Linked DNA regions of Mus musculus. The protein of the gene in region 2 interacts with the protein of the main gene of each other region in a pairwise test. Links are inferred from orthologs where the notes say so. Each region holds a gene or a part of one and is shown on either strand. Other genes may lie near its edges.

Region 1 (4,177 bases), on a different chromosome or scaffold from region 2:
AAGTGCAACGTCCTTTTCCACCGCAGATGTATCAATGTCCAGAAAGAAGTCATCCAGGCCAGAGTCTCCCAGGTACCTTGAGCTCAGAGCTTCTAAGAATACAGGATCAGCCTGGGACACGATCTCATTCTGGGGACTCGAGGAAGCTGCTGGATTCAGAGGCGGCTCCATCTCATCCATGGATGTATCTAGCTCCCTGAGGATGGAACCGATGGTGGTAGATAGGGAGAAATCTTCTTCACCTAGGAAGAGAGGTTCCGGGGGCAGGGCTGGTGCTGGAGCGAGGCGAATGGCAGCCTGGAGCTGCTGGAGTGTGTTGTGGATAAGGACGTGCCTGCGGAGGCTGGGTGCTCTGGGGCCCAGGCTGCGCTGGACTTTGTCCAGAGAGATTCGGAGCAGGGCTTGCTGGTAGCTCCGAAGAGCTGTTGGACTCCAGTCCCACTTCTCCTCTTCCTCCTCCTCTTCCAAATCAGAATGTTTCCTCTTTAAGCCTCCCATGTCCTGTGAAAAAAGAGTGGAGTCAGATACCTTGGGACCTTACTTCTTCAAGCAAGCCTGTGTAGCTATGGGAAGCTTTTGTGTGTGTGTGTGTGTGTGTGTGTATGTGTGTGTGTATCAGAACCTCCATTTAAAGTGCACAGAGAATCCCACAAGGCTAAGAATGGGTAAATTAATGCATGCAATGTGATTGAGAGAACAAGATGCAGATAGGATTGCTGGGACTGGTAAGTGAGTGTGAGGAGGGGTGCACAGGACACAGAGTGGGAGCAGGTAGTAGTGAGGGTGGAGAGACTCCTGTAGCTGTCACCTCCTCTGTATTAAGGAGGCAGTGAGTTCAGATGTTCAAGGTCACCCTCAGCTAGGCAGTGTCTCAAAAATAAAAGGAGCTGGAAAAATTGCTGAGTGGTTACGAGCACTGTCTGTTCTTCTAGAGGATCCAAGTTCGATCCCCAGAACCTGCATGGATGGCTCAGGACTGCCTAAAACTCCACTTTTAGAGGATCCATGGCTTCTTCTGGCCTCCTTTGCCACCAGGCACACAAGTAGTGCCCAGACAAGCATGCAGGCAAAACATCCATACACATAAAATTTAAAATAGGAAAATGAACAGAAAAAAAAATTGCAGATGGTGTCCTATGCCATTAATTTCAGCACCCATCCAGGAGGCAGAAGCAGGTAGAGTTTAATATGGTCAGACAAACCTGTCTCAGAAAAACAAAAAAGCCCTAAAACAAATCACCAAAACATCCGGGCATGGCTTGAGTATCACTTGTCTGTGGTAGGCACAACGTTGAATTTACATTATGGTAATCAATTTTAACATTTGGAAAGTGAAAATCCTAACTCTGGTCTCAATAGATCTTGTTATTGTTTTCCCACAATACTTTTTTCCTAACAGGTCACAGGACAAACAGGTATGGAGCACAGAGTAATGGACCAAACCCAAACTTGAGACAGGGTTTCTCTGTATTGCTCTGGAACTCCCTATGTGGATCAGGCTGTGTCTCGAACTCATATCGTACCGCCTCTTCCTCCCTGAAGGCTGGGATTAAATGTGTGTGAGACGAGGCTTAGCTGGGACGTGTGTGTTTAAATTCTTTTTTTTTTCTCCTTTTTTAACAAGAATATTTCTGTCCGTACCTGCTTCCTACAATTGAGTCTATGACCTCTCAAAAGAGAGGGAGTATTTCCCAAACTCCGACCCAAAGGAAAGCCAGCTAGAGCGAAACTAACCACAAACTGCACCCTCTAGCGACCAGTCCAACCCAATCATCTCTTTTTATAGGCACCACCCTTCCCTGGGTCGCTAGACCAGACCCAAGAACACCTCAATGTATCCTCAGGGCCTTCTGGGAACTGTGGACCCAAAGGCTCCAGGCAGAGCTTCGGCTGTCGCGTTGGAACTACAATCCCCAGAAGGCCCAGCACACCCAAGAGACTGGACACGCCCGCCCTCTCTGAGAGCATGCGTACGGGAGCTCCGGCTGGTGGGGGAAGGGAACCCGGACTTCAGCTGCCCAGCGGCCGCCGAGCCCCGCCCTCTACTGCCTTCGGGGCGGTGAATCCGAGCTCCACGCCCCGAGCGCCCCTCCCCCACCAGGCTTCAGTCAGAAACCTGTTTTCTCTGGGTCCCTATCACCCCAGGAAGTTCTGGATTCTTCCCCAAACTGTCCTCGGTGTGCAGAGGTCCAAATCCCATCACATCGCCCAAAGACGACAAATAACTCTCGGGTACATAGTTCCGCCGGCGAAACTGGATATCCCAATTCTGAGACCTCGTCCCAAATCTCCCCTCATTCGGCTCCACTTTCAAATGACTCTGGCTTTCCAAATACCCAGTCCGGCTCCGAGACCCAGTCAGTGAACTCTTCCCCGGCATTCCCTTCTCACGACGGCGTCTCAGAATCCAATACTCGGTTCCTCTAGTTCCCGGGTTCCTCTAAATGCTTCATATCCTAGCCTTAAAACGCTCACTTTGTCCAGAACACCGTGGAACTCCAAACTCAGCCTATTCTTCGAGACTCAAACTGTCCTACACTCTCCTCCAAAGTTCTTTCTCCGTTTTCCTGGCTTCTCCAAACTCCAACTCCTGAGTAATCCTGCTCCCCCTTCGGTGCTGATGCTGGAATTCAGCCTTCCACCCTCCAATGTCCATCAATCACACCAATCTGCTCTCCACTCGGGATACCCCGCTTCCGCCTACCGTGGGGGCGCGCCCCCGTCCTCCTCTAACTCCAGGGAAATCTCACACAGGCGGCCACTCCTCACCTCGGCTGCCAGGGTCGCCACGACTACCTCCGACAAGCCTGCAGGGTTGGGTTCCACCAGTGCTGGGTAGAAGTCCGGCTCACTTTCCCCGGGCCTCTGGGTCTGGCTGGGGGCCACTCGGCTCCTCCCCGGAGGCCAGTCGCAAGCCAGGATTGGTTGGAATCCTGCCCGCCGCGGGGCGCCATTGGCTAAGAGGAGCCACGGATGCTAGGCCCCGTCCATCACTGGGCCGGGTCCGGTTTAGGTTGGCTACTGGTCAGGGGGCGGAGCGGAGTCTCCACGGTGGAGTCTGGTAACGCCGTCAGAACTGCTACTTTGGACCCAGCTGTGTTTCTCACTCCTCTGTTTCACTGCAGACCCCTTATACCAGACCCCACTGAAGAGTGACACCGGGTGACACCATTCTCCCCTCCCTGCGGTTTTGCAGGCTTGGGGCAGATGGTGGAGGCCACGCCCCCCGGAGTTCCGAAGGCTGGGTCAAACCGGAGGGCGGGGGGGGGGATGACGCACTAGACAGCAGCCAATAGCATGATGCGGCTTGCGTTGCCTGAACGACCGCAGCCCCGCCCCTTAGCTGGCGGAGCTCTGCTTCCCCACCCCCAACCCGTCTTGTAGGAGGAGTCTATGCTTAACCTAGAGGGGTCTGCTGCTTGTTTGGGGGAACCTCCTGGATCCCAGGCAACGCTTTCGTTTTCCGCATTTGTCTGCCTGTTGCTGTTTACTCTTAAAGACTGCTCACAACTCTGGGAACAAACTCAAACTTATTATTATTATTATTATTTTTAGTTTTGGGGATTTAACATTTGAGCATTTTGAACAAACACCGTAGAACTGAGCTAAGATTTAAAATTTTGTGTGTGTGTGTGTGTGTGTGTTTAATTTTGTGATATGGTTTCGTAGTGAAGGGTTAGCTTGCTCTTCACTATTTGGTCTCTGGTACCCTCCTTCCTGTTTTCTAGGACTCACTTTCGGATTCTTTTTGTTTTAGGCAGTCTCGTGAAGCAGGACTCCAGTGTAGACAAGGGCCTTGAAATTCTAATCATGCTTGGCTTCCATATTGCTAGTCCTGGAGCTGCAGGTGTGTCCCTAAAGAAAATTCCTTTTGCTTAGTTTTTGTGGTGTTGGGCACGGAACACCGAGGTGGTGCTAGCCAAAGTACTCTTATCACTGAGCTACATCCCCAGCCACTTTTTTGTTTGTTTTCTGAGACAGCGTTTTGCTGTGTAGCCTAAGCTATTCTGGAATCTTTCATCTTCCTGCTTCGTTTTTCTAGTGCTAGGATTTAGGCATTACCAGCTTGTCTAGCTTGCTTTCAGTTTTTCTAAGATGGCTTCCAATATCTCCTAAGAAATAAACACAGGGCTTTTCTCCCTTACCTTATTGCAAGGGTCCAATTCAAGGCACACTC
Region 2 (3,989 bases):
CATCTTTCTCCCTCTCCTTTTTTTCCCCCCCTTTTTGGTTTTTCAAGCCAATGTTTTTCTGTGTAGCTCTGGCTGTCCTGTAACTCATTTTGTAGACCAGACTGGCCTCAAACTCAGAGATCTACCTGCCTCTGCCTCCTAAGTGCTGAGATTAAAGGTGTTCAGCACCCCACCCAGTTGTGATTTTTTTTTTAAATCCTTCAAAGACCAACAAGAGATGGCTCAGCGAATAAAGGCACTTGCCACCAAGTCTGAGGCCTTCAATCTTTCAGAGCCATGTAGAGGAGGAAATTCCTCTACATGTACAACAGGTGCACATAAAAATCCTCCCCCCACATACACAAAAGTAAATAATAAATAAATGCAATTTTAAAAGTTTAAATACCTAAAACTAGAGATGAAGCTTGGGCACAGAAAAAAACCTACCTAGCCTGAGTGTGAAGCTCTAGGATTCAATCCCCAGTCCCTCAGAACTGTTGTTATATAAACATCCCCCTTCCCTTTACAAGCACGCAGGAAAGCAACAGAAGGTACTCACTGTGCTGTCCTTCCCCTTGTTCTTGAACCTGTTAAGTCGGGCAGCTGGTAAGTTAGCATTCTCGTTCGTGGACATGGCTGCAGGAACAAGGAGGAAAGCTAGGAGCCAAGGGAGGGTGAGAAGAAAAAAAAAGAAACAAAGAAAAAGTATTTTTAATAAGAATGCAACAGAAGCTGGGTAGAGTAATACACGCCTTTAATCCTAGCACTTGGGAGGCAGAGACAACCAGATCTCTATCAGTTTGAAGCCAGCCTGGTCTGTAGAGAGTTCCAGGCCAGCTAGGTCTACATAGAGAAACCCTATCTTAAGATGAAACAAACAGAAATATACAATAGCATGTTATAATCAACTAAATCTCAACTCCATTTCTATACTAGATTTAAAAAGCAGCAACGGTGGCACACGCCTTTAATCCCAGCACTTGGGAGGCAGAGGCAGGTGGATTTCTGAGTTCGAGGCCAGCCTGGTCTACAAAGTGAGTTCCAGGACAGGACAGCCAGGGCTATACAGAGAAACCCTGTCTCGAAAAACCAAAAACAAAAACCAAAAAAAAAAAAAAAAAAAACAAAAACAAAGATGACGACACAACACAGCCTGGCAGTGATGGCAAAGCACTCCAAGCACTCAGGAGGCAGAGGTAAAACGGATCTGAGTTTGTGGCCAGTCTAGTATACAGAGTGAATTACAGGACAGCCTGGACTACTCAGGAAACCCTGTCTCAAAAATATATAAATAAAATAAAAACAAAACAAAATCCTACAAGTTTTCATCATTATGGCTATAATACTAAGCCATAATTGCCCCTTACTACAAAGGCAACTTAACTGTCAATCAAAAAAAATTTTAAAAAAAGATAATTTAAAATTTCCACTAACCACAGTGAGCCCCGCAGTGGTGGCGCACTCCTTTAGTCCCAGCACTTGGGAGGCGGGAGGATTTCTGAGTTCGAGGCCAGCCTGGTCCACAGAGTTCCAGGACAGCCAGGGCTACACAGAGAAACCCTGCCTCGAAAAAACAAAAAGAAAGGAAGGAAGGAAGGAAATTAATTTTAAGACTTTTACCCAATATAGCTAAACTATTACCATTTGAGGATGTCATCAATACAGAAAAATTGAGATGTCTTACTGTTTTTATACACCTTCAAAATCCAATGGGTAGTTTAAGCACACGGGGCATCTCAACAGATTAGCGGCTTTTCAAACACTCAATAGTCTTAAGCCTCTAGCCAGCACGGTATTAAGTCAAGGATCTAAATTCTAGGCTCCATTAGTTAATAGAACACCAAGTAGGAGAACAATCTACGTCCTTTGTTTGTTTTATTTTTCGAGACAGGGTTTCTGTGTGTATCCCTGGCTGTCCTCGAACTCAAATCGGCCTGCCTCTGCCTCCCAAGTGCTGGGATTAAAGGCGTGCGCCAACAATGCCTGGCAACCATCTACGTCCTTAAGGCAATAAACGCAGCTCTCGTTTTCTGTTGATCGATGGCCAAAACGGATCCATACTAGTACCCTCTTGCAAGTTACATAAAGAATCGGTTCGTTCCATTATAGGGCCTTCCATCACATCATCGCTGTCAGCAATGGCATTAACGCCGCATCTTGCACACACTTCCAGAGAATGCATTCAGCCGGGATGACATCAGCTGTGATCAGTGGGGCTCGATAGAACCCAGGTGTGGTCGTCGCGAAGGGACAGGAACCCAAAGTACCCTGGTAAGCTAGTAGGTTTAACTGCTTTATGTCCGTCCTCGACCCTGACCCAGGTGATCCGGGTCAAGGGCTTAACTGGGGTGTCTTAACTGCCACCTTCATCCCCTGCCCAAAGCTGCGTCTCCTCCCCGGGGCAGAAGCATCAGGAAAGCGGCGGCACAGCCAGGTAGGTCCGCTCGACTGCGGCTGCCCTCCGGTCCCTCCACGCCGACCCGAGCCGCTCCCAGGCCTTCGCTGCCCTCCGCAGCGCCCGGCGTTGCCAACCCTGACCCCGGCGTGGCGAAACCAACCCGCCCCGAGGCCTGGTCGGAGCAGGGAGGCTCAGCTCCGGCCCGGGCGCGGCCTGCTCCCGCCCTCCGCCCCGCAGCCTTCCGTCCGGCCGTTACTGCTCAGGACCGGCTTCCGTTCCTACCTGTACAGCCGGCTCAGATTTCCACGAAAGGTGGTGCAGGACACTCAAGCTGCGGGTCGGCGGCTGTGGAAACGTCTGCTACCCTTCAGCCCTCAGATTTTGTGCCTCGTGCTGCCGGCCGGCGCGATTTAAATTTCCCGGTGACGCCGCGTTCCGATTGGCTGATTTGAGCCTAAGCTGCGCGTTCATTGGTAGGTTTGAAAAACACGTTAGGCGGGGGTGGGGGTGGGACGCAGACGCAGGTCGTAGGGGAAAAAAAAAAAAAAAGGTGGGGGTGGGGCGGTAAGCAGGGAAGCGTCGCGAGATGAGGGAGCGGCCGGGCAATCCCAGGGTGCCTTGCAGAAGGGTGACTCCAGATCTCAGCACACAGCATGGAGACCTGCGTTTCGTCTATGCTTAGATGGACACTGGGCCGTACCCTGTTTGCTTTCCCTGGGCTTGTCCTTAAACAAACACACGAAATTATTATTACACTTGTAAAAAAAGGCTTAGCTTGCGGTGATTGGCGCAGGCTTTTAATCCCAGCACTAGGAGTTCAAGGCAAACCTGGTTTATACAGCCAGGCCAACCAGGGCTAAATAGTGAGACCCTGTCTCAATCAACCAATCAGTCAATCAATCAATAAAAGAAAAGAGAAATATATTTACTTTAAAAAAATTTTACATCAGGAGCTGGTCACCGGGAGAACGTGGATCTGTGTGCCTCTTAACCATTAGTTGTATCACTATATTGTTTATAGTATTTGTTGATTATTTTATCTTTAGGCAATCATTAGTTGTATCGCTATATTATTGTTTGTGCTATTTACTGGTTATTTAATTTTTATCATGGGGAGTGGGATTGAGGCAGGGTCTCACATTAACAATAGAGCCCAGGCTAGCCTTGAACCTAATGCAATCCTTCCTCAACGTCAGTTCTGGGATTACAGACATGCCCCACTTTGTCCCGTGTGGTAAACTTTTAGATTACTTGGAAAATAAAGACAATGGAAGCCGGGCAGTGGTGGCGCACACCTTTAATCCCAGCATTCAGGAAGCAGAGGCAGGCGGATTTCTGAGTTCGAGGCCAGCATGGTCTACAGAGTGAGTTCCAGGACAGAAGCAAAAAAAAAAAAAAAAAAAGAAAAAGAAAAAGGACAATGGAAGCAGCAAATATGGTAACAATAATTTATTAGCCCGGTGGTGGTGGCGCACACCTTTAATCCCAGCACTTGGGAGGCAGAGGCAGGCGGATTTCTGAGTTCTCTGAGTTCGAAGCCAGCCTGGTCTACAGAGTAAGTTCCTGGACAGCCAGGGCTACACAGAGAAACCCTGTCTCGAAAAACAAAAAC

Evidence for each region. The genes of interacting proteins can lie anywhere in the genome.
Region 1: the proteins of Kpna2 (region 2) and Sertad3 interact in binary tests that used the Homo sapiens proteins (3 or more experiments, as listed by UniProt). The two-hybrid records come from large-scale screens. The link is inferred for Mus musculus from reciprocal best matches to the Homo sapiens genes KPNA2 and SERTAD3.

The regions. Positions count from the first base shown.
Region 1 is NC_000073.6:27,472,464-27,476,640, reverse strand, and holds the start of Sertad3 (SERTA domain-containing protein 3), read right to left. Parts: upstream 2,802-4,177; 5' UTR 2,770-2,801; intron 502-2,769; 5' UTR 499-501; coding exon 1-498.
Region 2 is NC_000077.6:106,996,700-107,000,688, forward strand, and holds the start of Kpna2 (importin subunit alpha-1), read right to left. Parts: upstream 2,827-3,989; 5' UTR 2,660-2,826; intron 637-2,659; 5' UTR 614-636; coding exon 539-613; intron 1-538.